7 linked regions of the Macaca mulatta genome follow. The protein of the gene in region 1 interacts with the protein of each later gene in a biochemical or structural test. Links are inferred from orthologs where the notes say so. Each region holds a gene or a part of one and is shown in the gene's direction. Other genes may lie near its edges. The genes, in order: RAF1, RASD2, PEBP4, PHB1, RHEB, STUB1 and RB1.

Region 1 (3,959 bases):
CTTATTTTGGGACATTAAAAAATATATACAGACTGGGTGCAGAGGCTCTTCCCTGTAATCCCAGCACTTTGGGAGGCTGACGAGCCCAGGAGTTTGAGACCAGCCTGGGCAATATAGTGAGATCTTGTCTCTACAAAAAAAAAAAAAAAAAAAGGGTGGTGCTGCAGCTGAGACTGAGGCAGGAGGATCACTTGAACCGGGGTGGTCAAGGTTACATGAGTCATGATCATGCCATTGTATTCCAGCCTAGATGACAGAGCAAGACCCTGTCTCAGTATATATAATACAGATTTTATACACACACACACACACACAACACCCGCACGTAGACAGAATAATAAATCTGATGTACAACTTACCCACTTTCAACACTTAGCTAACCATGGCAGTCCTGCTTAATCTGTGTTTTCATCCACTCCTTTCCCGATGTTTTGACACAAATCCCGGATATCATTTGTCTGAACTATTTTGGTATGTACAAGGAACTTTTAAAGAATGCTAATTTTATTTATTTTTAAATAGGTAAAGCATTCATATGAGCCAGAAGTCTTGAGTGACCCCTGCCCCTATATCCCCATTTCTTTTCCTTAGAGGTTTCCTATGATCAATCTTCTATCTATTTGAAGAATCAGTTGGTTTCCCCTTACCCTGTTGTTCATGACCTTTGCTTTCTTCCACATCTCTGAAAGAGAGGAAAAACCATCGGTAGCTAAGGAGGCTGTCACAAACTCCAAAGGAACTTTTTTCATTTGGAAAATCTTTTCCTTTCTCCCAGATGATTGATCCTCCCGGAAAATATTCCTCCCCCACTCCCATCACCTTCTGAGCTAATCTGTTACAAGTTCAAATTCTTCTACACTGTACTCTGAATGTGGAGTCCATCTTTGGGCCTCAAATAATGATTACTGGGCAGATAAGTCCCCATCAGTCCCTGGTGATAGCAAAATAAAGCCTTGTGAAAAACTTCTTACGTTGCCCCTGTCTGATATTTTTCAAATTCTTTAGGCTCACATGCATTTCCTTCTTTCCTAGATTGTTTTCTCTGCTTTGCATCCAAATACTATACCCTGGTTTGGAGCCTGGTAACTAGGAGGGCCCAGATACCTATGTCCTGTTTCTTAAGACTTTTTTCTGTTGTAAACCAGCTGGAGAAGGTTGGCTGGATTGGCACTGAGGTGCCTGGAGTAAGAGCCAAGATTAAGAACACTTTGGGCCTTTTGGAGCCCTGCTTTGCTTCCTTTCCCCTCCCCATGTATTTGCATAGGTAAATATATGCATACACTCACCACCTTCTGGGGAAGGGGTTGGCTGGCTGCTGTAAGCTGTTAACACTTTCAGAGGAGGAACTTTGCTGTAAGAAGTTAACAAGCACTGCAAATGTATGTTTTGCCCTCCTTGCTGGCCATACTGACTCTAGTTACTTTACTTTTGATTAACTCTTGGCTTTGAAGTTAACACATGGAGGACTTTTATTAAAACTCTGAAATTTTAGTTCAAATTTTTTTACAGCTGCCATTAATTGTGAGTGTCCTGGGCACTCACACTTCCCAATAGGGTTCTGAGTACCTGCCTAGCTTTTTGAGGGTTGAGTACAGGGAAATATAGAGAAGTATGTGCCACTAAGGCTGCTTGGTATGGTATGCACATATATTTAAACTAAGATTGGTGTTTGTCCCTACAGCAGGGCTGGAGTTCTGTATCTTCCACTTCCTGCTTTGCCTTCACTAGTGTTAAGTACTTGTGAGATGGAATTTTTGTTAGAATGATTAGTCATTTTTGTTGAAATAAGTTGAAGTACAAATTTTGATCATAAAAACTCATGTTTGTTTGTAGAGCAGATTGGCTTATTTCCTCTTTAATGAATCTAATGAACATACATGTGTATACATCTAATCACACAAAATTAGAGACATGTAAAGGAAAAGTTTATCATTTTCTCTGTCTTTTTTTTTTTTTTTTGAGACGGAGTCTCGCTCTGTCGCCCAAGCTGGAGTGCAGTGGCCGGATCTCAGCTCACAGCAAGCTCCGCCTCCCGGGTTCACGCCATTCTCCTGCCTCAGCCTCCTGAGTAACTGGGACTACAGGCGCCCGCCACCTTGCCTGGCTAGTTTTTTGTATTTTTTAGTAGAGACGGGGTTTCACCATGTTAGCCAGGATGGTCTGGATCTCCTGACCTCGTGATCCACCCATCTCGGCCTCCCAAAGTACTGGGATTACATGCTTGAGCCACCGCACCCGGCCGTCATTTTCTCTTTCTTAACCACTATCTCTTGATGTGAACAGCTAAGTATAAATCTTTCCGCACTCATATAGCATACAAATTTCTTCACCTTTTTTTTTTTTTGAGACAGAGTCTCACTCTTGTCATCCAGGCTGGAGTGCAATGGCGTGATCTCAGCTCACTGCATCCTCTCCCTCCTGGGTTCCAGCAATTCTCCTGCCTCAGCCTCATGAATAGCTGAGATTACAGGTGTCCACCACCATGCCTGGCTAATTTTTGTATTTTTAGTAGAGACGGGGTCACTATGTTGGCCAGGCTGGTCTCGAACTCCTGACCTCAGGTGATCCACCTGCCTTGGGCTTCCCAAAGTGCTGAGATTACAGGTGTGAGCCACCGTGCCTGGCCTCTTCATCTTTAAAATAATCTTACTCTATTATTCTGAAGGATATTTTCCCCCAATTAATATATCATGGACTCCTCTCCATCCAGGTCATTATAAGTAATATAATAGCTGCATAATGTGACATAATACAGATGTCTCACACTTCATTCAAGTACTTACCTATTGCTGTACATTCAGGTTGTTTCATATATGTGTGTGTGCGCGTGTGCCATCACAAGCAATGCTGTCATAAATTTGCCTGCACCTTTATAGACTGGTGCATTTATTTCTGTGCCCACCTTTCCAAGGGGTGCTGCAGCCTATGTTGGTCCTAAAGGTGATCCTTTGTTTGTAGGTCAATGTACGAAATGGAATGAGCTTGCATGACTGCCTTATGAAAGCACTCAAGGTGAGGGGCCTTCAACCAGAGTGCTGTGCAGTGTTCAGACTTCTCCATGAACACAAAGGGTAAGAGCTCAAAAGTCAATTGACTTCTTCAGACTAGTAAGGATCTTCTAGCTTCAAATAGCTATGTTTGTATTAAATTGTACTAGCTTCCTATAGAATATTGTTTATTTCTATGCCTTTCTTTATAAAGAGATAATTCAGAAAAATAGGTATTAAGAAATTGAAATTATTGCTTGGACATTCTCTTGAAAAGTCCAATACCTGTAATTTTAACACTTTGGGAAACTGAGGCAAGAGTGTTGCTTGAGGCCAGGAGTTCAAGACCAGCGTGGGCACATAGTGAAGGCCCATCTCTACAAAAAAATTTTAAAAACTAGCCAGGCATGGTGGTGCGGCCCTGTAATCCTAGCTGTTCGAAATGTTAAGGTGAGAAGATTGCTTGAGGCTGCAATGAGTCATGATTGTGCCACTGGACTCCAGCCTGGGCTGGAGCAAGATCCTATCTATTAAAAACAAAAAAGAAACAAACAAAAAAAAAACATATGTTAGGTATTGATAATGTTTCCATGGATGGAAACGGTAATGTTAGATGCTATGTTTTTTGAGGCAAAGATTTTTCTTTGTGTTTACTGTGTTTACTGTAATGCATTATATAGACTGGGCACTCAGAAAGTGCATTATTATATATATAAAGAATGCTATCCTCGGGAGATTGACTTTTCTCATTCACTAATTTTTTTTTTTTTGGTTCAGTTAAATGTGTCCTAATCCCTGCTGTTTAATAGATTGTTTAAAGATGCAGAAGCATTTCTGCTTCAGGGAAGATTCATAGTTTATCCTATTCTTAATGGTGGTGACAAGATAGAGGCATCCCCTCAAAGGCTAGGAGTAATACCTCAAAGCAGCAGAGCTGTCTGTAATTATCCATTATCCACTATTCCCTCCACC
Region 2 (3,338 bases), on another chromosome or scaffold:
GTGTTAGCTATACGACTGTGAACAGAGGCTTCAACCCCCTCAGCCTCAGTTTCCTGCCCTGGAAAACGGGGAGAATAATCGCAGCTACCCCAAAGACTCGCTGCGTAGGTTAAGTCAGTTACGCCGCATAACTGCTTCAGGGCACCTGTGACTCCCAGCTGTTAGGACTGGTGTTCTGTGGCCAGAGGAGGGCAGGCGTCACAGCTGGCCGGTGAACTCACTGCCTGGGCTCTCTCCCTGCAGGGGATGTCTTCATCCTGGTGTTCAGCCTGGATAACCGGGAGTCCTTCGATGAGGTCAAGCGCCTCCAGAAGCAGATCCTAGAGGTCAAGTCCTGCCTGAAGAACAAGACCAAGGAGGCGGCAGAGCTGCCCATGGTCATCTGTGGCAACAAGAACGACCACGGCGAGCTTTGCCGCCAGGTGCCCACCACCGAGGCCGAGCTGCTGGTGTCCGGCGACGAGAACTGCGCCTACTTTGAGGTGTCGGCCAAGAAGAACACCAATGTGGACGAGATGTTCTACGTGCTCTTCAGCATGGCCAAGCTGCCGCACGAGATGAGCCCCGCCCTGCATCGCAAGATCTCCGTGCAGTACGGTGACGCCTTCCACCCCAGGCCCTTCTGCATGCGCCGCGTCAAGGAGATGGACGCCTATGGCATGGTCTCGCCCTTCGCCCGCCGCCCCAGCGTCAACAGTGACCTCAAGTACATCAAGGCCAAGGTCCTTCGAGAAGGCCAGGCCCGCGAGAGGGACAAGTGCACCATCCAGTGAGCGAGGGATGCTGGGGCGGGGCTTGGCCAGTGCCTTCAGGGAGGTGGCCCCAGATGCCCGCTGTGCGCATCCCCCCACCGAAGCCCCCGCAGCAGTCTTGTTCACAGACCTTAGGCACAGACTGGAGGCCCCCGGGCGCTGGCCTCCGCACATCCGTCTGCCTTCTCACAGCTTTCCTGAGTCCCCTTGTCCACAGCTCCTTGGTGGTTTCAGCTCCTCTGTGGGAGGACACATCTCTGCAGCCTCACACCTTCCTCTCCTGGGGTTGGAAGGAATGTTGATCCCAGAGGGGTGAGGATTGCTGCGTCATATGGAGCCTCCTGGGACAAGTCTCAGGATGCAAAGGACACGGAAGGCCAGATGAGAAAGGTCTCCTCTCTCCTGGCATAACACCCAGCTTGGTTTGGGTGGCGGCTGGGAGAACTTCTCTCCCAGCCCTGCAACTCCTACCCTCTGGGTTAGCTGCCTCTGCACCCCCTCCCACCCCCAGCACACACACAAGTTAGCCCCCAGCTGCCCCTGACATTGAGCCAGTGGCGTCTGTGTGTTTGAAGGGGGCGTGGCCACGCCTCCTAGACCACGCTCACCCCTAGACCACGTTCCTCAGCCTCCTCTCCCAGGTCCCTCCGCCCGACAGTTGTGCTTTGTTGTGGTTGCAGCTGTTTTCATGTCATGTATAGCAGTAGAAATGGAAATCATTGTACTGTAAAAGCCTAGTGACTCCCTTCTTGGCCAGGCCCTCACCCAGTTCAGATCCACGGCCTCCTCTGGGGATGCCTTCCTCCTCTATTCCCAAACAGGGTTTCCATGGCCTGTCTGCACCTAGACATTGACCTCCGCCATTGAACTCCACGGTTTACAGACAATTGCACAAGCGTGGGGTGGACAGGCCAGGGCTGCTTTTTTTAATGCTCCCATTTCACAGAGGATACCACTGAGACTCGGAGGGGACATGATGAGCCCCAAGCCACAACCCTGTCCCCTAGCAAGTTCAGGGTACAGCTCCACCTAGAACCAGGCTGTCCTCTACTGTACTCATTCCTCAAGCATTTATTAAGCACCTACTGGGTGCTGGGTTCACTGTGTCCTAGGAAACCAAGAGGGTCCCCAGCCCTGGCCCCTGCTGCCCCACCACCTTCTGCACACACAGCGGTGGGGAGGCAGGGAGGAGCAGCTGGGACCCAGAACTGAGCCTGGGAGGGGTCCAACAGAAAAGCTCAGGGCAGGTCTTCTCCTTGTGCCCGGGATTGGGCTATGCTGGGTCCAACCATGTACTCAGGCATGGTGGGTTTGAACCCATAAACCAAAGGCCCTTGTCATCAGCTCTTAACAAGTATATTTTGTATTTTAATCTCTCTAAACATATGGAAGTTTTCGGGCCCTAAGGAACCTTAGTGATCATATAATGGGTCTTTCTGAGGTCCAGAGAGGGTTAGTAACTTCCCCCAGGTCACACAGCAAGTCTGTGGGTGGCAGAAGCAAGCTAGTGCTGGGCATTCGGTACCTACCACGATGTGCCCCCTCTCTTGATGCTTGGCCCCTGGGGCCTTCAGGGCTTTGGGACATCTTGTCCTCAACCCTCTCCCTAGATCAGTCTGTGAGGGTCCCTGTAGATATTGTGTACCCCATGCCAATGTATATACAAGTACACACAGATGTACACACAGATGTACACATGCTCCAGCCCCAGCTCTGCATACCTGCACCTGCATCTCAGCCTTGGCCCCTGCCTGCGTCTGTGCTGAACGCAGCAGCTCCAACCCCGCCTCTGTCCTCTTCCCCACCCCGCGCCTGAGCCCTCTGAGCAGACCAGGCACCTTGGCTGCACCAGTGTGTGGCCTGCTGTCTCCCAGGCACAGCCCCGCTGCCATGGATCTCCGTGTACACTATCAATAAAAGTGAGTTTGTTACAAAGCCGTGTCCTTGCCCATGTGTATTTTTCGTGTTTCCAAGAGGAGGTGTGCCCCCTCCCCGATCAAAGCTGGCCTTTCCCGCCCAAAATGCACCTGCTGAGAGCCCTGGCCCTGAGGGTCAGCACTGAGTCCACCTTCAAGTTTAAGTGTCGGGGGAGGGGGATAAGACCCCCAGATGGAAGGTGATGCTCTCCTTCAGCTTGGTCCTCCTGGGTCCTCCAGGTTTGTGTACCGAGGTGTCTGTGTCCACACAGGAGGGGCCCCTGTGGACCATTAGCTCCAGGAGGTTCTCTGTGTCTTAGTTCTTCATGGTTCCTGTACAGCAGCAATTTCACCTCCAGGGCACAGTTGGCAATCTCTGGAAACCTTTTCCAAGCCTGGGGCTAGGGCTGCTGCTCTCACCTGGTGGGTGGAGGCCAGGAACACCGTTCAGTATCCTCCAGTGCACAGGCTGCCCCTCCACCCCCACCGCACTGAGAATTATCTGGCCTCAAATACCGAGCGTGGGCAGCCTCACTTAGACTCAACCCCGGGGGCCAGGACACGGCCCCCACCTGCGTGTGGTGGATTTGTTGGACTGCATTCTGGACGGAACCCAGTAGACACGGGGCTCACAGCATGAGCCCTCCTGTGAAGTGAGACAGGATGTAGG
Region 3 (3,959 bases), on another chromosome or scaffold:
GGATGTCAGGCACAGGAGGCCTGGAGGGGTAAGAAGGGAGTGGAGAGTTTCAGCAGCAGTGGTTCAACAGATCCCAGTAGCTGGAGGGACCAATGTGTCTCTGGAAGCCACAGGTTTGGCTTGAATGGTGGTGTCTGGAGGTGGTCCCAGCCCAGGTAACTGAAGGAAGAGAGGGGGACTTCAAGGGTGGGCACCAAGAAATCTAGCAATGGGACTTTCCAGGGTGAGAGAATTAAGCAAAACCAGATGGTGATGGGGAGGGAGAATGGTCACTCCTCAAGCTTGAACACAGCTTTCAGATCTTAGGTTTCAAATATGAATCAAAGTCCTGAAAATCCCCAAGAGAAAGATCGGGTTTGAAAATCCCAAGAACCACTGCATTCTGCCAGATCTCTCTGCACAAAAACAAGCCACAGAAGGTTAGATAAATAAGCAAAAGGCATCCAGGGCTAAGGGCCAACCTGAGTGATTAGTTTCCTACTGATGTTTACACGGAGTTGTGAGCTGTTAAGTGAAAATAAGGATGATCAGAAACGGACGTGGCGTGTGTTATGCATTTAAACAAGAATTTTATTAAACCTCTATATACTCCATGTAAGGTGCTCAGAATGCTGGACAGTCTCCGTGCTGCCTCCCAGAAGCTTATAGGCTGGGTGATTGAGGGAGAAACTATCACTAAGCAAATAACTACAAAATAATTTATTACAACTATATAAGAATAATGAAGAAAGCAGTAAGGTGCTCTGATTGTTTATAAAAGGAATCTGATGGATGCTAGGGGTGAAAGCAAGTTTCTCTCAGGAAATGGCATTTCAGCTACCCCCCTAATGAAGGTGGGAAGTGGGGTCGGTGCCTATCACAGCCCTGGGATAGAAAGGAGCTTGAGGAACCTGCCAGAGGTAACATGTGAGAGGAGGAGGAAGTCGGCTAGAGAGACAGGAAAAGCCTGATTTCGCAGGGCATTGTGGTCCACGTGGAGGACTCCGGGGTCCTTCTCCCAAGAACAAAGGGAATGTAGAGGGAGTGAGTAAGAGGCACTGGAGCAGCTACAGAGTTCAGTGGAGCCAGGTGGTTAAGAGCGTGGACTCTGGGCTGGGTGTGGTGGCTCATGCCTGTAATCCCAGCACTTTGGGAGCACGGAGGTGGATCACTTGAGCCTGGGAGTTCAAGACCAGCCTGGGCAACAATGCAAGACCCTGTCTCTAAAAAAAATACAAAAATTAGCCAGAGCCGTGGTGTGCCTGTAGTCCCAGCCACTTGAGAGGCTGTGGCAGGAGAATCCCTTGAAGCCCAGAAGGTGGAAGTTGCAGGAGCCGACATCACCCCATTGCACTCCAGCCTGGGCGATGAGAGTGAGACCCTGTCTCAAAAAAAAAAAGCATGGACTCAATGGACTCAACCCAGTTTCAACAGGTTCAACCAGAGCCTGGGGTTTAAATTCCAGGTCTGCCACTTCTTGGTGACCAAGGCCAGGTTTTAGCTAATGTCACTGTGCCATCTCCTCCTCCATAAGATGGGGTGATAATAGTGCCTATTTCCAAGGATTGGCATGAGGATTTGGAGACAAAAGTGCCTGGCACGTGGAGTAAGGAAGAACTGCCACTGGAAGTGGGCTCAACAGCAGCAACCTGCACTGTGGGCTCTCCCTGCCTCCAGGCTGCCATCACTGTGCTAAAAGAGTTGACACCCAGGAAAGTTGAGGCTTCTCTAGTGGATGCCATTTGTAAGATGAGTTTCTTGGTCTTGGGCAGCCCTTCTGGCAGCATCTCCTTGACTGTGGCTGTCCTGTGAGCTGTATACAGACAAGGCCATGCTCAACCTATACCCCAGGGCCTAACATGGGGCAGGCACATGGGAGGTGCTTAATGCCTATAAGTGAAGTGGGTTGCAAAGGAATGAATGAATGGATGGATCTGTGAGAGAATACTTACACTATTCATAAATTATTGAGCATTTACTATGTTCCAGGCTCCTTACTGAGGGCTTAACCTGGTTGATTTCATTCTCACAATGATCTTGTGAGGAGGCTACTATTCGACTCTTTCCAGTAGGGGAGATCTTGGGAATACGTTTTTTGGTTGGGGGCAAGGGGAGTCCTGGTTGTATTTCAGGGAGCTTAATGATAGAGAAATGTGTTTAATATGTAGCCCCAAAGGGGGGCTTTTTGCTACAGGTTGGGATCCTGGAGGCAGGAATTAAACCAGAAAGCAGACTATGCTAAAAGTAGTTTCTCTAAAGATCTAGCTGCGTGTACTTTACAGCAATGATCTCATATTCCTTAGCAAGGCACCACAGTGACAGCAATTATTTAACTTGTTTGTGAAAAGGAAAAGTGGTGTGTTCTAGGGAGACGCAGTGGCCTCCCCAGCATCCAGAGAGAGCTCAGAGCAGAAGCCAGGAGTCCTGAGTTGCTGGCATGTCTCTCCCACCCCCGCCTCTGAGAAGCAGAGAGCAGAGAGCAGAGCTATTGGAAAGGCTGTGGCAAGCCGCCTTTGTTCTTCTCCTTGCCCACTCAGGCTCTAACCAGAGTCCCACATGCACCTGGTGGCAGGACTGTTCCCTAAGGGAATGCGGGCAACAGTCCCTGGCTCCCCTTCTTCCCGGTGCAGCGCTGGGGCAGACCACCGCTTTCTGAGCCCCAAGCAGCTCCCCAGACCTCCTTCTCCAGAGATGATTATTTTGGGAGAGTGCTGAGTTCAGCACAGCTGCAAGGTGCAGCCAGACGCACCCTTCTGTCCTCAGCTGGCCCTTTGGAGCTGGCTTTGGGCTAGGGTGCGCCTGCCCAAGCCCAAGTCCCTGCAGCAGTCCCTCCTACACAGGGTTACTGTGTCCAAGCACCTCCACCTTGGGGAAGCTCACAGGCTGTGGAGACAGGTGGAAGAATGGGGGCTAGGAGAGGCAGAGCCGGTCTGAGGGGCACAGCCCAACTCCTAGCCCTGAGCCTGGGGTCACCAGCTTCCCAGGGCTTGCCTTACAGCCAAGGGGCAGGCTGGCCTTCGGCCAGCTGACCATCCCCAGGCCAAGAGCAGGGAGTGGACGAGGAGCTGAACTGAGAAGCTTATATAAGCACTTCTACTTTGCAGCCTGCTGTCTGCCCTGGCAGCCAGGACAAGAGTGACAACAAAGCTGTGTCCTGCCAGGGGGAGGGGCCTCTGCCAGGAATGTACATTGAGTCCAACTTGGAGGAGGCCCAGGTCCTCCCAAAGTGCTTGTGTCCGGGTGGTGGACTGGATTAGCCGCGGAGCCCTGAAAGTTGCCTGCCTTTCTCCCTGTGCTTAACCAGAGGTCTCTCTCCTGCCAAGTGGGCCCCTGGGGTGGGGGGCACAGGTATTTGGCAGGAAATGCCCTGCAGGGGATCCAGCTGCTCTAAAGCTCCTTCTGTTCCAGGTGCCCATGGGTTGGACAATGAGGCTGGTCACAGCAGCCCTGTTACTGGGTCTCGTGATGGTGATCACTGGAGACGAGGATGAGAACAATCCGTGTGCCCAAGAAGCCCTCTTGGACGAGGACGCCCTTGTGTGCCAGTAAGTCAGGGCAGGCTTGGAGGCGGGAGGCACAGAGGCTGCCAGGCAGGTGGATCGCAGGGAGGGGTATTTCCAAAACCAAGGAGCACCATCTCCTGAGCCTGATTTTATGGGGAAGACAGAACACACGTCAGGTCTGGAGACCACCTTGATGGAGGATGGCGCTGAGAAAGGGACTTAGAAACAGACTCCTTCCTGCCTTCCAGAATGCACCTCTCCCAGGACCAGGAGGGCTGTGTATATGGTTGGCTCTGCTTGGGCCCTCCAAACCTGGGGGGTCTTGGCGGAGGCAGGAGGCTGAGACCCTCAGAGAGAGACCCAGAGAGAGAGACCATCCCTCCCTATAGCCTGAATGCCCCCTCTCCACAGAACCCCGACCAAGAGGCGTTTTAATGAAAGAAGGTGTGTGATTAGACCCTTCCTGTGTGAGAGGTG
Region 4 (3,959 bases), on another chromosome or scaffold:
GGGAACCCTAGTGAAAGGTGATAGAGTGTAAACGAATGGTTCGATTCCCCCAGGCCTGGTATAGGGGGCAAGGGACATCTCTGAGGCGTAAGCTATCCTCCTGAGACACTATAGCTTGTGTGTTTATATGACATTGGATGTCATAACTCAGACAGAAAGCAATACAGGCAGGATAGCGTTTCAGGTTGAGGAGGGTGAGGGGAAGGGTCGTGTTTCTAGATTCTCTGGGAAAAATCATTTGGAGTGATTTGTTCGGGCAGTGAGGTAAAGTGCTTCCTGTTCAGTTCTCCCGTGCATCGCTAGGGAAAGGCACCGCTTCCCCCAGCATCTGTGCAGCTGTTTAAACAGCCACTGGACAACAGCCAGTGTTAACCCCGGGGCACTGCTCCACCTTGCTCCGCCTGCTGGAACCCCCGGGGGCTTGGGGCTCCCTCTGCTGGCAAGAGGCCAGGCTGCAGCCGTTCTGCAGGCCCTCCCCTGGTAATTACCGTGAACCTGAACACCTTGGCTGTGAGAAAACGCTGCGTAAAAACCTAAGGGAAAAGTTGGCATTTTACTAGACTTTAACCACATACTCCATTCTGGGGAAATGTGGGCTGACCACAGGAAACCCTGTCTAAGAGGTGTGAGAAGAAAATTAGGTTTCATGGGGAATTCGCTGCCCTCAGCTGGCCCTTTTAGAAATAAATTTTATTCCTTAATTATACATTTCATTTTTCATTTCTCAGGATCAGATTTTCTTACCCAAACTTTGACTGAGAGACTAGAAATGGATCAGGCGAAGTACGACAGCTGCAGTTAGAGTTCGGAGCTTAAACATTCTGGGAGAGAATGAGACCAGGATTTACTCGTCAGGAGCAGTTCGGGGCTGCTTTTTTAAAAGCAGAGGCTGGGAGAGCGGAGGAAGTGAAACAACTAGAATCTGATGGCAAAACCAATGCTCTCCTCTTGATTCTTTTTCAGTAAAAAGTAGGATGAATAAGTAAATTGCTCTAGGCTGGGCATTAGGAATGCTGAGGTCCCTTCCCATTGTTTGTGCTATGGTTAGGAACAGTCACGTCAGACCTGACATGATTAGGGAAGGTCTATGGATCATCAGACTTCTAAACCCTCAGCCCGACCAATGACTTTACCTGCTTTCTCTTTCTTTTAAACCCTTTAACAGAACCATTCACATTGGGAATAGCATGATTTGCGTTCTACCACCCCTCGTCCTCTTCCTGTTCAGTGGTGGAGCTGCTGTGGGAAGAAGTGGACTGGTTAATCCATAAGCAGAGAGCATCAGGCTCTTGGATCCTTGGGAACCAGCAGCCTCCCTCACTCTCAGGGGCCCCGTTTTGCATCTGGCCTTCCTTGGGCTTTGAACAAGGCATCAAAGGCGCTTGGAAGAGCACTAGTCAGTGGCGGGGGTCTTAGAACCCACAGTTCTCCTCTGGGGAGGTGGTCGATTGAATAGATACCTTCTGGTGCCCATGGGCCCCATCAAAAGCCCCAGGCGCCATTTGCTACATGAGGTCACTCGCTGCACTGAGAGTGACAGAGTAGTGTACAGGAGCAGTTGGGCAGCCAGAGATGCTGGGTGTAAACTCAGTTTGGATACAGATACAGAGATGGAAGAGTGTTCTGGCCTCACAGATGCCTCCAGCTGCTAGAGCCATTGCTGGCCTCTTCCTTCCAGCGGCCGTGGAGGCGTCCCAGCAGTGCTGTCTAAGCAATCACACTGCCTCATCTTGTGCTCACTCTCTCCCCTTAGACACATCTGACCTTCGGGAAGGAGTTCACAGAAGCGGTGGAAGCCAAACAGGTGGCTCAGCAGGAAGCAGAGAGGGCCAGATTTGTGGTGGAAAAGGTGAGCATTCAACCAGATGGCAGGAGCCTCTCTCCCCTTTCTCCTGCACTTAGCTTCCCCATTTGCTGGGTGGCCTGGAAATTCATCATCTGTCATCCCTTCTTCCGGGATAATCGGAAGGGGCTTGAAGGAATTGTACTTCTGCAATTGGTTCCAGAGTCTTCGGGGGCTAGTCAAGGATATGTGGAGTTATGTTCCAAAATCACCGAAGGGTAATTTTTCTTCCACTTCTCTGAGATCAAAAACACTCTCTTACAAATGAAAATGTTTCTCCTGGAGTATTTTCAGCTTCACTGAGAAGTCATTTTTAACCATACTTACATAGTGAAAGCTGACAGCAAAAAAGATCAAACGTTGCACCAGATGTGCTTTCGTCACTGGATTTTTTTCTAGTGCTAAATCCATCCAGATGTGTCAAAGAATGCGATGGGACGCAGTGTATTTGCGTAGCAGCCTGTTCTTTCTGGTATTTGCAAAGACATGTTTATTGTTGTCCCCCTCTTCCCACCACCAGTATCCCTAATTGGTGGGGAGATGGGGGCAGCAAGAAATAAAATGGGAAAAGAGGAATAGATTTAATTTTGGAGAATGAAAACACTGTGTGGGCAGGGACTTGCGTTGCTTTGTATCTTCCATAACTTCAGAGATTATAACAAGTCTAGTATAGTGCCTGGCGATAGTAGGTATACAGTAAATGTTTGTTAAGCAAATAGACGCAGGGCCCAGCCATTTCAAAATTGTATGTAATTTCAGGGAGGCTTAATACTGTCCTCTTCCTCACACTCCTGAAGGTCACACATTTCAGAGAACTGTCTTCCTCTTAATATTGGTAGGGCAGGCCTAGGAGGTCTCACTGTGGGTGCCTGGATTCTGGTCAGGAATCAGCCTAGCCCACAGGCAGCTCTAGGAACAGTCACAAGTGCATGCTGCTCTTCCTTAGCCATCCTGAGGTTTTTTGTTCGTGACAGCGGCTCCCTCTGTGGCCCAGGCTGGAATGCAATGGCATGATCATAGCTCACTGCAGCCTTGACCTCCTGGCTCAAGTGATCCTCCTGCCTCCGCCTCCCAAAGTGCCAGGATTACAGGCATGAGCCACCACACCTGGCCCTGTCCTGGCTTTGATGAAGTCCTTTAGACTTGGGGCTGGAAGGAAAGATGAGCCTTGAGGGTTGATTCCATTTTTCTTTTGCTTCTGTTTTCCTTGGCCTTGGATCCTCCTGGCTCAGAGTAGAGTTGTTAAGCTAGATTGCAATTAATATTAATGAGGACTTTGAAATAAGACAAATATTCATGCAACCAACAGAAATGTATCTCTCCCGTGACGAGTGAGCATGAAAGGGAAGGGGAGGACTGGTGGGCTGTGTGCTCTGCCTCCCCCCACCATCAGGAGGAGGTAAACTCCCCAAGTTCCTACAGGAGCCTGGGAAGGTGGCTTTCTGGTGAAGGGCCTTTGGTTGTAGCCTGACATGCGGTGCCCTGAGGTTTGGTCTTAGTCTGTCTCCACCTCCATTCTTTTAGGCTGAGCAGCAAAAAAAGGCAGCCATCATCTCTGCTGAGGGTGACTCCAAGGCGGCTGAGCTGATTGCCAACTCACTGGCCACTGCAGGGGATGGCCTGATCGAGCTGCGCAAGCTGGAAGCCGCGGAGGACATCGCATACCAGCTCTCACGTTCTCGGAACATCACCTACCTGCCAGCGGGGCAGTCTGTGCTCCTCCAGCTGCCCCAGTGAGGGCCCACCCTGCCTGCACCTCCGCGGGCTGACTGGGCCACAGCCCCGATGATTCTTAACACCGCCTTCCTTCTATCCCCACCCCAGAAATCACTGTGAAATTTCATGATTGGCTTAAAGTGAAGGAAATAAAGGTAAAATCACTTCAGATCTCTAATTAGTCTATCAAATGAAACTTTCATTCTTCTCACATCCATCTACTTTTTTATCCACCTCCCTACCAAAAATTGCCAAGTGCCTATGCAAACCAGCTTTAGGTCCCAATTCGGGGCCTGCTGGAGCTCCGGCCTGGGCACCAGCATTTGGCAGCACACAGGCGGGGCAGTGTGTGATGGACTGGGGAGCACAGGTGTCTGCCTGGGTCCACGTGTGGCCTCTG
Region 5 (3,959 bases), on another chromosome or scaffold:
GTTTCTCCTTACTAAAATGGGTGTGTTTTGTTTTGTTATATGCCTTTTGCCTTAGTAGCTCGTAGTTTAATGAGCATTCTCAAATCTCAAACATGAGTGTGAGAAGAGTGGTGTTTTGTTTTTTAGAAACCTATATGCTGAATACACAAATATTTATGAATATACAAGAAATATGTCAGTAAAACTTTCTGAATCAACCAGTTTGATTCAGAAAATCAGTGATCTCAAGGAATTTAGCCACTTAGAACAGTACACATCTACGATCTCACAGATTTGTGGATCAGGAATTTGGGCGTGTCCTAGCTGTGTCCTCTACTTCAGTCTCTTGCAGCCGCAGGGTGAGTGTCAGCAGGGGCTGCAGTCCCATCTGACTTCAAAAGGGACATCCCGTCACCTTTGCCATATTCTGTTCATTAGATGCACGTCGTTATGTCCATGCAGGGAGATGACACACAGTGTGGCCCCTAGGAGAGCATGAGCTCTGGGAGCTGGCTCCAAGCTGCCTGCCACACAGTCCCAGTTCTTTCAGCCGTTTCTCACGTGACAGGGTACTGTATTTTTGCCCAAGTGGCGACACTTTTAAATGTAGGCAAATATAGCATGCGGAGGAAAACGTGGTTCTGTAATGTAACCGCAGGTCCTTAGGACACCCATATCCCATTGTTGACCCACAGCGAGCTTGTAGGGGGGTTAAATTTCATTTTTGTTTTTATCAAAGTGACAGCACATGTGGTTTAAAATAGCACAGTGTGTAATTCATTCAACAAGCTAACTTGCTCCGAAGCTTGTGATGCAACCATGAACAGAGCAGACAAATCCCTGCCCTTGTGGAACTTATTTCTGGTGTGGGAGACAAACAGTAAAACGACACACATGTGAGATAGGATGTCTGTGACCATGCTGCCAAGAAAAATGAAGTACAGAAGGGGTAAGAAATAGACAGGGAATTTGTAATTTAGGATAAACAGAAGAGGTGTAAGAAGTGACATTTGAGACTGGGCACGGTGGCTCACGCCTGTAATCCCACACTTTGGGAGGCCAAGGCAGGCGGATCACGAGGTCAGAAGTTTGAGACCAGCCTGGCCAACATGGTGAAACCCTGTCTCTACTAAAAATACAAAAATTAGCTGGGCGTGGTGGCGGGCACCTGTAGTCCCAGCTGCTCAGGAGGCTGAGGCAGGAGAATTACTTGAATCCAGGAGGCGGAGGTTGCAGTGACCTGAGTTTCGTGCCACTACACTCCAACCTGGGTGACAGAGCAAGACTCCATCTCAAAAAAAAAGAAAAAAAAAGTGACATTTGAGGAAAGACTTGAAGCAAGGGATCCCTAGGGAAGGAACATACCAGGCACACGGGGAGTGACTTCAGAGGCTCTGGCGGTGTTAAAGGAATGTCAGGAGGCCAGTGCAGCTCAGACAAAACAGAAGAGGGGGCAGACGGGAATGGAGGCAGAAGTCAGGGTTTGAGAGTAACTGGGGCCGAGTAGAGATGGCCGCCTATCAGAGGACGTTGGGCGAGACATTGTCCATCTGCTGCAGCCGAGTCCTCTGGTTGCTGTGCTGAGCAGGGGTGGCAGGGAAGGGTTGGGGCTGTAGCTGTGATGCAGGCAGTCTTGGGCCAGGAATTTCACACCTCGGTGGCAGCTGTGGCGGGGAGTGAGAAGCCATCAGATTCTAGGTAGGATTTGAACGTAGAGCCAGAGATGTGCTGGCAAATGTTCGCATGGGTTTTTTGGGGGAGGGTGGGAAATGGTTTGTGGCTGTTTGTCAGCATTCAATGGTATAAATAATCCTACTATGGCAGATTTCGAGTGATCATTGTGACATCTCAGATGCCCTTCCCAGTGAGAGCCACCTTCAACCTAGAGTCATCGGCTTATTGATCTGATTGAAAGCCAAGAGAGATTGGCATCACCCAGAGAATGTATGTACCTAGGAAAGAAAACAGGAACAGGCTGAGTGCACTAGGGCACTCTAGGAAAAGCTGTTCAAGTTGTAATGTAAACAGTTGGTTCTTTGCTGAGTAAGTTGGGTGATTAAAAATTGCATTTATGTGGTTTGTCAGCCCAGTGGTAGGCTTTCCATTTGAATGCCTTACCTGTTTCACTTTGAATATCCTCAGTCAGGGTTACTGAGTGTCAGATGTGTGCACATGTGAATGGATTGCTAGGAAAAAACAAGACTTCTTTGTGTTCAGTTTATGTTAAAATGGTGAGTCCGTGACATTTTGCATTTTCCAGCTGTCAACATAACATACCTTTAAAAACTTCAACATTAAAATGAATGTCTAATTTATACTTTTTGTTTTATAGTTTTGAAGTGATTAAAGTTATCCATGGGAAATTATTGGATATGGTGGGGAAAGTACAGTAAGTAGTACCATTTTATCTGTTTGTTAGAGAAACTTCTTATAATAGTATCTTCTGAGCAGTACAATCTGGCACTGACTATTTTGTTTTGTTTTATTTTGTTTTTCTTTTAAATAGAATACCTATTATGTTGGTTGGGAATAAGAAAGACCTGCATATGGAAAGGTATGTAGCTTTTAAATCATTAGTAATTTCTAAAGTCAAGTCTAAGATGATTTAGTCACTGTAGTGTCATTTTAATTATTGTTCTGATATCAAGAATATTTTTAGCTGTGGCATTTCTTATCTGTTCAGAGATGTTATGGTCGTGTGCAGCAGAAGCAAAAGTGCAATAGAAATCTCACATTCCTCTAGAAAAGAGAGAGCAAACTTTATAGAAAACTACCTTTAGGTTATCTACCACCTTGCATAGAGCAAATTCTAAAAAGACGTAGTGCTCATTGATGCAGCAAGTGGTTTTTGAGTACCAGGGTTTGGGATTACAGTGGGGAGCAAAGGAGGCAGATGTCCCCTGCCCAGGCAGCTTCATGTCAGAGAGTAAGAGACTCTACAGCCTGCACGCAAGAGAATTGAGCTTTCAGGCCCTTTCACAATTTCCCCTGGCCTTGGGTGCTTAAAACCTAGCTGTAAAATAGTCAATTGTTACAGATACGGGAGTACTGGAAAATAGGATCATGTTCTCTGAGCTGGAAGGTTTGCTGGAGCAGGGATAATCCCGTAAGGCAATGTCTATTCTGTTCCCCAGCTCAGGCGTAATTGAAACACTCCTGTGTTACATTCTCGATGCTAATGTTAGGCCAGGGCATGGTTCTGCTTCATGAGAAAGAAATTGACCAAAATGGAGCCTGTTTCAAAATCAATTATAGATATTTTATATAATGAAGAGCAAAGTACTTTAACCAGAATTTTATTTGTCCTTTAGGGTGATCAGTTATGAAGAAGGGAAAGCTTTGGCAGAATCTTGGAATGCAGCTTTTTTGGAATCTTCTGCTAAAGAAAATCAGGTAACAGATTCTATAAACCTCGTTTTGCATTGCGTTCTCATCAGTCACAGGGATGTGTTCCTTGCAGTTGGCATTTGACCTCTGTCTTGATCACTCCTGTGTAACATTTGGCCTTCCAGAACATTTGTAATACCAAGCTTTGTGTTGCTTTAGGAAGATACTACTTAGGTGTTTATAAATTCAGTCAATATTCTACTTACAGTGGAACCTAGGATATTTGTAGGATAAACATAAACTATTAGTAAGGGAAATACTACCTTTTGTAAACATGTATTTTTGTTTTGTATTAATAACTGATACAGAAATAAGTCCATGCAGCAAAAAAAAAAAAAAAAAGAATTATATCATTAGCACTAATTTTTAACTGTACCTACCCCCTGGCTTTTTTTTCTGTTAGATGAAACCGGGTCAGACGTATGTGTTAATTTTTAACATAGAAATGATTAAGAACCATCTTTTAAGCATTTAGTACCAATTTCACCCTGTAGATGTACCTTTAAAGGCATGTTCTGGGAAGTATGTAGATTCTGCTTCAGGAGGCTTCACAATCCTGTATGAACCTTTTTCTTCCATTGCTTTAATTTAGA
Region 6 (4,609 bases), on another chromosome or scaffold:
AGAGCTGTGGCCCACTCTTGAACCTGGCCCAGGTACAGCAGGTAGTACCTGAGGGTGTACTGTGGGGCCGGCAGGCCGGGCACTGTGACCACTGCCTCATCTGACATGAAGGCCTCCATCTCGAGCTCCAGGCACCAGGACTGCTGTGAGCAGCGAGGAGAAGCAGCCAGACACCCCATCAGGACAAGCTCTGGCTCCGACTCCTGGTCCTAGAGACACACAAGGGCCCAGACTGTCTGCTTCACAGACAAGGACGCTTATGTACCCAAGTCGTGCCCACCCAACTCACCTGAGGCTGTGACTGTGGTGGGTCCACACCGCAGAGGGCAGACAGCTGGGTGACCGCGGCGCCCACATCTGGCAGGAGGCAGAAGGTGGTGGTCGAACAGTGCACAGCCAGCTCAGGGGGATTGGTGGTCACCAGCTGCTGTGAGAAGCCAGGTCAGGGTGCCCGGGGTGGTGGACCCACAGGGAGGCCCCGCCCCCACGAAGACCCGCTCTGGAGGCCCCGCCCCGCCGATGCCACGCCCCGGTGAAGACCCGCCCTACGGAGGCCCCGCCCTCGAGGCGGGCCGCCCCTCGCCGCCAGCTTCCAGGCCAGCAGCCGCTCCAGCTCCCTGTCACATGCTCTCCGCTCTGCCCCTGATGGCCGCTGGCAACTCCTCCCGATACCTGGGGAAGGGCGGTGAGGGGAGGTCCGGCCACAGGGGGCGCTCGCCCACCGATCCCTTTATCCCCTTCCACTCTACCAACGGCCCAGGGCTTCCAGCCGCACTCGGGGGTCCGCGCGCGCCCGTAGGACCTCTCGATGGCGCTCCGGAATGGCGGCCCAGCGACTGGGGTCCTTACACCCAACAGCGCGGGAAGCCACTATGTTCACGCGGAGGGGCGGGGCCGGCTGCCGGGGGCGGGGCTTCTGGGTAGGGGCTGGCTGCTGGGGGCGGGGCCTCTGGGTGGGGCGGCCTGTTGGGGGCGGGGCGTCTGCCGATGGGGCGGGCTGCTGGGGGCGGGGCTGGCTGCCGGGGGAAGGGCCTCTGGATGGGGCCCGCTGCTTGGGGAGGGGTCTCTGCGCGTTGCGGCGGGGGCGGAACGCCAGGTGGTCGGGACAGGCTGTTGGGGGAGTGCGCCCTCAGCGAACCAAGGCATCTCACTGGGAAAGTCGAATGTGTGTGGCGGTCGCCGCCGAGGCCGGTTCCGAAGAGGCCTCAGCAGGGCGGGCCAGGGCCTCCGCGAACGCCGACCCTTAAGAGCGCCGAGCGAGGGAACCGGAGTGTTCCTCCCAGCCCCCGACGCCGCGGGCCTAGCGTCCCCGTCCAGGCTGATTGGGCGCACGCGCGGCCCCACTCGCCCCCACCCGTGCGTCCCCGCTGGTCCCGCCCCCGGCCGGAAGTTCCGGCGGTGGAGCTGGGCCGGGCCCGAGAGGATCGCGGGTTCGGGCTGCGGGGCTCGGGCTGCAGGCGCTGGGCCGCCAGGCGCGGAGCTTGGGAGCGCAGCCCAGGCCGTGCCGCGCGGCGCCATGAAGGGCAAGGAGGAGAAGGAGGGCGGCGCGCGGCTGGGCGCTGGCGGCGGAAGCCCCGAGAAGAGCCCGAGTGCGCAGGAGCTCAAGGAGCAGGGCAACCGTCTGTTCGTGGGCCGAAAGTACCCGGAGGCGGCGGCCTGCTACGGCCGCGCGATCGTGAGTGCGCTCGCGCGGGAAGGGCGGCGGCGGCGGCGGCGGCGGCGCCGGGGAGGGCCGGGCCCGTGCCCGGCTGGCCCCACCGAGGGTCTGGTTCCTCTGCGGGGCATGTCCTGGGCTCCTAAAGCCCAGCCGTGGTTCCCGAGCCCAGCGCCGGGTGTCGGAGAACGAGGGTGGGATGCTGGATGGAGGCCGGCCGGGTCGGGGGGAGGGCAGGGGCCCTCGCCCCTTGAGGATCCCAGGTCCAAAGCCTGGACTCTCCAAAGATTTGGAAAACTTTACAAAACCAAGTGGAGTCAAGCGGATAGGCTCAGCCAGTACTCCACTGTCTGCAGATCCTTGGATCCAGGGGCTTTGACGACTGAGAAGCCTAGTTTCTTGATTCTAGCCAGAGCGCAGAAGCTGGGACGGGCCGTGGGACAGAGGGGGCGCGCTGAGCCTACACCCTCATGCGGCTGGCCCGGCCTTGGTCCCTAGACCCGGAACCCGCTGGTGGCCGTATATTACACCAACCGTGCCCTGTGCTACCTGAAGATGCAGCAGCACGAGCAGGCCCTGGCCGACTGCCGGCGCGCCCTGGAACTGGACGGGCAGTCTGTGAAGGCGCACTTCTTCCTGGGGCAGTGCCAGCTGGAGATGGAGAGCTATGATGAGGCCATCGCCAATCTGCAGCGAGGTTGGCTGACAAGCTGCCCGGTTGTGGGGCCCCTGGGGCCAGGCGGGTGGACTGGCCAGAGAGTGACCTGAAGCCCCCGTTCCCCAGCTTACAGCCTGGCCAAGGAGCAGCGGCTGAACTTCGGGGACGACATCCCCAGCGCTCTTCGAATCGCGAAGAAGAAGCGCTGGAATAGCATCGAGGAGCGGCGCATCCACCAGGAGAGCGAGCTGCACTCCTACCTCTCCAGGCTCATTGCCGCGGAGCGTGAGAGGTGGGACCCTCACCCCAGGTCGCCCTGTCTTGGGATAATTCTGAATCACCAACTACCAACATGAGCGTTTATTGAAGGTTTCACTGGCGAGCAGAAAACGTGGGGAAGAAGCATGAATGTTAGCCCTGAGGTTGGGGTGTGGTCAGACATCTGGCCAGGTCCATCTCTTACTGGCTCCTGGTCAACCCCCAGGGAGCTGGAAGAGTGCCAGCGGAACCACGAGGGTGATGAGGACGACAGCCACGTCCGGGCCCAGCAGGCCTGCATTGAGGCTAAGCATGTGAGGGTGCCCCCCTCCCACATGTGGGTCTGTGTGTGTGCACCTGGCGTGGGAGCATCCCCGCCTTGTGTTGGGTCTGTGCCCCATGGAGGAGGGAGGTGGGGTGTCCCGCACAAGTGCAGTGCTCAACTCTTCACAGGACAAGTACATGGCAGACATGGACGAGCTCTTCTCTCAGGTGGACGAGAAGAGGAAGGTGAGTGTCTGTCACTTGCTGCGGTGGGTGGCAGGTGCTGGAGCAGTGCCCCTTCCCAGCCTCTGATCGTGTGCCCCTGTGCCACAGAAGCGTGACATCCCCGACTACCTGTGTGGTAAGATCAGCTTTGAGCTGATGCGGGAGCCGTGCATCACGCCCAGTGGCATCACCTACGACCGCAAGGACATCGAGGAGCACCTGCAGGTGAGGCTGCGGCTGGGGGAGCAGGGCCAGCAGCATGGTCCTGGGCCCACTGACTGCCCTCTGCCCTTCTTGTCACTGCAGCGCGTGGGTCATTTTGACCCCGTGACCCGGAGCCCCCTGACCCAGGAACAGCTCATCCCCAACCTGGCCATGAAGGAAGTCATTGACGCATTCATCTCTGAGAATGGCTGGGTGGAGGACTACTGAGATGCCTTGCCCTGCCCAGCATCCTGGTCCAGGAGAGCCCTGGGCGGAAGCCCTCCACCCCTGTACATAGTTTGTGTTGCTGGCCACCCTGGCCCCTTCCAAGTTCAAGTTCTGCTGTTGGGCTCTGGACTATTCCCCCTCTCAGCATAGCTCTTGCTGGGCCGTGATTGTCCTCCTTTGTGGGCTGGAAAAGCAGGTGAGGGTGGGCTGGGCTGAAGCCACTGCCGCCACTGTCTGTGTAATAAAATCCATGAGCACGAGATGGGACGTGCTGGTGTGTGGCAGGCATGCCTGCCAGCTGCTTTGGCTAGCCGAGGAAGGTGGAGATGAAGACGCTGGTGTCAAGGTTGAGTGTGGCATGCCACCAGCGGTCAGGGAAGTACAGCACCTGGTGGAGAAAAGGGGTGCAGCACAGATTAGCTGGGGGCCTCTGGCCTGGCCTGGCCCTCTCCTGCCAGCCACTGACCTCACCAGCCCGGATGGTACACTCCAGGGGCCGTGCAGACGGTGGCAGGGCTGGATATGTGTCCCGGAGCCAGGCCAGCGTGGTCTTGTTGGGGTGGAACTCTGGTGTCTTCTCAGGTGGGTAGAGGAACCAGCGCTGGGGGCAGGAGCAGCAGCGTCACCCTTGCCTGTTTTGGTCACCGAGCCCCAAAGCTCAACCCCAACCCTGTGCTGACCTTACGGCCGTAGATCACCTCCGAGTACCCGGGCCCATGCCAGTGGAAGGGCACCCCCGAGCCAGCTCCTGTGGGGTTATGAGCACCTGGTGACCAAGCCATTTTGTACCCACCCTCAGAAACCTCACTCCTCCCCAGTCCTGAGCAGCGTTCACCTGCGATTCCAAAGCTGTAAGCTGGAGCGGTTCCCAGCAGGCCAAATGGGGGTGGGGAGTAGTGCCGAAAGAGAGAGGCCCACTCGGTGAAGTTGTTGTCCCCGAAGAAGTACAGGGTGTCTGCCAGTAGAGACGGTGGGGGCAGGGATCCTGGCACCTGGAAACTCCAGGCGTCCCCACCCCCTACCGCCACCTAGGGCTGACTCACCATTGCCCAGGGAGGTGGGGTCCTGGGGGTGCAGCAGCTGCTCCACATACTCCTGGAACGGCAAGTCCACTGCAG
Region 7 (3,959 bases), on another chromosome or scaffold:
AAAGTGAAGAATATAGACCTTAAATTCAAAATCATCGTAACAGCATACAAGGATCTTCCTCATGCTGTTCAGGAGGTAGGTAATTTTCCATAGTAAGTTTTTTTGATAAATCCGTATCCATAACATAGGTAATTTTATTCATTAATGAGATCATATATTCTGACCTTATTTTGTAAATTCACAAATGAAAATTGTTATATTATTTATTTGTAACTTAAATAGAATTGGAAAGATAAGGCAAATAATGAAATTATCCATATCCATATTTTTTAATAAAGTTAACAAGTAATACTTTATCCCTGTAATAGGCAGGTATTTGTAATAAACTTGACATGAGTCATAGAACATTAGATATTCTTTGAAGTTATTTGTATTAGTTTATAGGAAAAGCCAATATAAATGCAGCCTTGCAAATAAATAATAAAAATGTTCAGTATAAACACATTTTGTGTTTCTGGTTTACCTTCCCTTTAGAGAAATAGTAGTAGTAAAATATACTTGGTATGACATATTTCATATTGTTTTGTGGAAAGTGAGTTGTGGGATATTTTTCCCATTTATTATTGGAGTTTTCAAAAGTAATACAAACCAAGTCATTTTTGTTTGTATGTTTGAAGTTATTTTCTAAATTCAATCATTTTAATTGTATATATCAGAGGCATCTGATATAACCTCTGTGTTTTTACCTAAAATTTGAGTGAAATCTATCACTAAAATATAGTGCCTTTACTAAATGTCTACTTCTTGCAATTGAGTAATGCATACTTAAACCCTTATAGATTGGGGGGAATACCAGGAGGTACAGGCCAGAGAATGTAGTCCAAATATTGATACATAATGTTATTGGCTTTCGCTCAGCTCTGGCCCTTTGATTCCCTTTGATCATGCTTTCCATTCTACTAGCCTGTCTACTCCTGTCTTCTTAGATGGCCAGCTATTCCATCTGCTGCTGCCTGGCTATTTCTCTCAATCATTCTGTGACATTTCACTTCTCGGAGAGCAGCTATAATCCAAGCCTAAGAAGTAATTTTAGATTATTTTTTTCTTTTATAATATGTGCTTCTTATCAGTCAAAAAGTATTATAAACTATTAGAAAAGAAAATCTAAAGGTAGAAATTTTAAAATTCATTTAACAAGTAAATTTTACTTTTTTTTTTTTCTACTGTTCTTTCTCAGACATTCAAACGTGTTTTGATCAAAGAAGAGGAGTATGATTCTATTATAGTATTCTATAACTCGGTCTTCATGCAGAGACTGAAAACAAATATTTTGCAGTATGCTTCCACCAGGGTAGGTCGAAAGTATCCTTTGACTGGAAAAATCTAATGTAATGGGTCCACCAAAACATTAAATAAATGGTCTACTTTTCTGTTTTTGCTCTAGCCCCCTACCTTGTCACCAATACCTCACATTCCTCGAAGTCCTTACAAGTTTCCTAGTTCGCCCTTACGGATTCCTGGAGGGAACATCTATATTTCACCCCTGAAGAGTCCATATAAAATTTCAGAAGGTCTGCCAACACCAACGAAAATGACTCCAAGATCAAGGTGTGTGTTTTCTCTTTATGGAAGTAGTAAAGAATGAGAGGGCGATTATTTTGATCCAAGAATAAAAAATATAAAGCTTTCTTCATTTCAAATAAGCTAGACTCTTGAAACTCTATTTGCTTATTTAAGTAACATAATAAGAATATGGAGAGAAAGAAAATCTATTTACTTGGATGAGTTTACACATTTACTTATCAGATTTCCTGACTGTTAGGGTATCTTCTTTTGTAAACAATTTGAGAACCAGTTTGGTTATATGTTTCAAAACACTTTCATATTTTTCTAAGTAGCCAATCTGCTAAACAAAGCAGGTTACTTTAGGTTGAGTACTTTTAGTTTGTAGTTTATTGGATGTCCTGTAAATTTTGCTTCCTGTGGATTTTGTTCATTTTGCTTGTTATATTAAATGTAGATTACTGTCAATTAAGTCTTTAGAGGTCCATCCCTAATCCTGCTGGCGGCCACTTTACCACTTTACCTTGGGCAGGTCTCTATCTGTACTTCACAAGGGTGCTGTGGATCAGGGAAATGATGAGTATGAAGCTGTTTTAAATGCTCAGATGAAAGGTTGTGTGCAACTACAAATCATTATATTATCTTCCACATCCAACCACAAGTGCTCTCTGGCTTTGAAGTGCTTCAATTGACTAATTATATGTTATCACGGGCTATTTGAAACTGACTTTATTTGTGTAAAGTAGGAGGCAGATTAGCTAGTATAGTTAATGTAGTCTCATCTCAGAAATTATCAGCCCATATGGTTGTACCTAATGGGCAAGAAAAGGGGAATATGTTGGCCTTTCAGAAAACATTTGCATGGTATATTTAATTATTTAAGTAGTACGTACTCATTATAAAAATTTCAAACTCTACAGAAAAATATGAAGTGAGAAATAATTGGCAATATGATACAAATGCTCTCATGTGCCTCTGTATCATCCTTTATTTATTTGGTGTTCTTGTAGTTGGATATCTGTGTACTGATACCTACTACTTGTTCTAAGCTGCTAAGATGCCACGTCATGTCTATTTAAGAAAATTTACATTGTTCCATGCCACTATATGAAAATGTATACTTAGGTAGTTTTCTTTAATAGTGATAATTAGTCCATATTATGGTGATAATGATGGCTACTTGCTGATCCTTAGTGAAATAAATTCTGTGTTGGTATTCTTTAGCAAGAAAGTCACATTCTGAACATCCTAACTAATAAATCATTGACCAGGCATTAGGAGAGCATCTTAACACTACCTGGTACATTTAGGTGTTCTGGTTAATCAAATATTATATGTAGAATGATGGCCACTTATCAAGGAATTAGAGGACAAAAAATTCTCTATATTCACTAGTTCCGTGTTCATGTTTTCAAATCTTTGTTGAGTCATGTCAGTCTAATGATGTTCTTCAGATTTATTATCAAGAACATAAATTATATGGTTCAAATAAAGACAGACTAATAAAGATTTCTGACTCCATATATGATATATGATAGCCTTTACTATATCAATATAGAGGCTAATTAGAATTCTGATTATTACTTAATATTGTAAGTTTTTTCCAAATATTACTTGAATTTTAAATGAGAAAATATGAAAGAAATTTGATAACTTACCCATTGATTTACGAAGAACTCAGTAGGGGTAAACTTGAAACTTTCCTTTGCCCTCCCTAAATATGGGCAATAGCAGAATATGTTCTTGCAGACTTATAACTTTTGCTGTAAAACTAAGAGACTAGGTGAGTATATGATTAAATGGGCACTGTTACAATAATTCCCAAATGAATATAGTTTGTCAGTAGTTCTAGGGTAGAGGTAACCTTTAATTTAGTATTCCTAATAGTTCAGAATGATGTATCTATGCTCGTCTCTGCAAAATTGTATATGATTTTTTATTACTAATTGGCATTTCATCTTAACTTGACAGAATCTTAGTATCAATTGGTGAATCATTTGGGGTGAGTATTTTCTTTCTATGAAATATAATAGTATGCATTGTAAGTATAAAAGAAATTAAAGCTTTCAATAATTCGAGTTTCTAAATGTAATTATTCAAACACCTCATCCAGGCATATTGCATAGAAATTTATTTTTTTTATATATATATATATATATATATATATATAAAATACTCCTAATCTCAAATCATACTCCTAATTGGTGAACTTCAAAACTTTTCTAAATATTCATTTGAGGTTATATAATACATATATACATTTGTGTATATACATACATATATACGTGAGCTGTTTTTGCTCATAACACTTCTGTCACCAAATGTGTAAGATTTTTTTCTCACACAAATCTTCAACTCTCTGGTGTTCTACAATTCAATTCGATTCTGACACTAATTACTCAGAGTCAGCATCAGACTCCACAGGTTCAAGGCTCAGTCCCACAAAACTGGTCTCA

The links.
Region 2: the proteins of RAF1 (region 1) and RASD2 form a complex in vitro, tested with the Homo sapiens proteins (2 studies listed by BioGRID). The link is inferred for Macaca mulatta from reciprocal best matches to the Homo sapiens genes RAF1 and RASD2.
Region 3: the proteins of RAF1 (region 1) and PEBP4 form a complex in vitro, tested with the Homo sapiens proteins (2 studies listed by BioGRID). The link is inferred for Macaca mulatta from reciprocal best matches to the Homo sapiens genes RAF1 and PEBP4.
Region 4: the proteins of RAF1 (region 1) and PHB1 form a complex in vitro, tested with the Homo sapiens proteins (2 studies listed by BioGRID). The link is inferred for Macaca mulatta from reciprocal best matches to the Homo sapiens genes RAF1 and PHB1.
Region 5: the proteins of RAF1 (region 1) and RHEB form a complex in vitro, tested with the Homo sapiens proteins (3 studies listed by BioGRID and IntAct). The link is inferred for Macaca mulatta from reciprocal best matches to the Homo sapiens genes RAF1 and RHEB.
Region 6: of the proteins of RAF1 (region 1) and STUB1, one has a biochemical effect on the other in vitro, tested with the Homo sapiens proteins (4 studies listed by BioGRID, with this or other methods). The link is inferred for Macaca mulatta from reciprocal best matches to the Homo sapiens genes RAF1 and STUB1.
Region 7: the proteins of RAF1 (region 1) and RB1 form a complex in vitro, tested with the Homo sapiens proteins (3 studies listed by BioGRID, with this or other methods). The link is inferred for Macaca mulatta from reciprocal best matches to the Homo sapiens genes RAF1 and RB1.

What each region holds. Positions count from the first base shown.
Region 1 is NC_133407.1:151,432,483-151,436,441, reverse strand, and holds part of RAF1 (RAF proto-oncogene serine/threonine-protein kinase), read left to right. Parts: intron 1-2,958; coding exon 2,959-3,071; intron 3,072-3,959. UniProt on the Homo sapiens protein: Serine/threonine-protein kinase that acts as a regulatory link between the membrane-associated Ras GTPases and the MAPK/ERK cascade, and this critical regulatory link functions as a switch determining cell fate decisions including proliferation, differentiation, apoptosis, survival and oncogenic transformation.
Region 2 is NC_133415.1:15,988,708-15,992,045, reverse strand, and holds the end of RASD2 (GTP-binding protein Rhes), read left to right. Parts: intron 1-243; coding exon 244-773; 3' UTR 774-2,687; downstream 2,688-3,338. UniProt on the Homo sapiens protein: GTPase signaling protein that binds to and hydrolyzes GTP. Regulates signaling pathways involving G-proteins-coupled receptor and heterotrimeric proteins such as GNB1, GNB2 and GNB3.
Region 3 is NC_133413.1:24,591,356-24,595,314, reverse strand, and holds part of PEBP4 (phosphatidylethanolamine-binding protein 4), read left to right. Parts: intron 1-2,815; exon of another isoform or gene 2,816-3,229; 5' UTR 3,230-3,285; intron 3,286-3,387; 5' UTR 3,388-3,393; coding exon 3,394-3,524; intron 3,525-3,959. UniProt on the Homo sapiens protein: Promotes AKT phosphorylation, suggesting a possible role in the PI3K-AKT signaling pathway.
Region 4 is NC_133421.1:60,600,161-60,604,119, forward strand, and holds part of PHB1 (prohibitin 1), read left to right. Parts: intron 1-1,753; coding exon 1,754-1,849; intron 1,850-3,367; coding exon 3,368-3,580; 3' UTR 3,581-3,959.
Region 5 is NC_133408.1:190,896,629-190,900,587, reverse strand, and holds part of RHEB (GTP-binding protein Rheb), read left to right. Parts: intron 1-2,311; coding exon 2,312-2,368; intron 2,369-2,485; coding exon 2,486-2,533; intron 2,534-3,290; coding exon 3,291-3,372; intron 3,373-3,959. UniProt on the Homo sapiens protein: Small GTPase that acts as an allosteric activator of the canonical mTORC1 complex, an evolutionarily conserved central nutrient sensor that stimulates anabolic reactions and macromolecule biosynthesis to promote cellular biomass generation and growth.
Region 6 is NC_133425.1:1,895,046-1,899,654, forward strand, and holds the start of STUB1 (E3 ubiquitin-protein ligase CHIP), read left to right. Parts: upstream 1-1,516; coding exon 1,517-1,675; intron 1,676-2,063; exon of another isoform or gene 2,064-2,152; coding exon 2,153-2,351; intron 2,352-2,438; coding exon 2,439-2,604; intron 2,605-2,796; coding exon 2,797-2,884; intron 2,885-3,023; coding exon 3,024-3,080; intron 3,081-3,167; coding exon 3,168-3,284; coding exon of another isoform or gene 3,285-3,365; coding exon 3,366-3,491; 3' UTR 3,492-3,798; coding exon of another isoform or gene 3,799-3,879; intron 3,880-3,954; 3' UTR 3,955-3,957; coding exon of another isoform or gene 3,958-4,092; intron 4,093-4,171; coding exon of another isoform or gene 4,172-4,239; intron 4,240-4,325; 3' UTR 4,326-4,326; coding exon of another isoform or gene 4,327-4,446; intron 4,447-4,534; coding exon of another isoform or gene 4,535-4,603; intron 4,604-4,609. Other genes in the region: uncharacterized protein LOC106994901, read right to left, coding at 49-209, 290-424, 673-870, 986-1,110, 1,152-1,518. UniProt on the Homo sapiens protein: E3 ubiquitin-protein ligase which targets misfolded chaperone substrates towards proteasomal degradation.
Region 7 is NC_133422.1:27,657,384-27,661,342, forward strand, and holds part of RB1 (retinoblastoma-associated protein), read left to right. Parts: coding exon 1-75; intron 76-1,177; coding exon 1,178-1,291; intron 1,292-1,384; coding exon 1,385-1,548; intron 1,549-3,161; exon of another isoform or gene 3,162-3,293; intron 3,294-3,474; coding exon 3,475-3,505; intron 3,506-3,959. UniProt on the Homo sapiens protein: Tumor suppressor that is a key regulator of the G1/S transition of the cell cycle. The hypophosphorylated form binds transcription regulators of the E2F family, preventing transcription of E2F-responsive genes.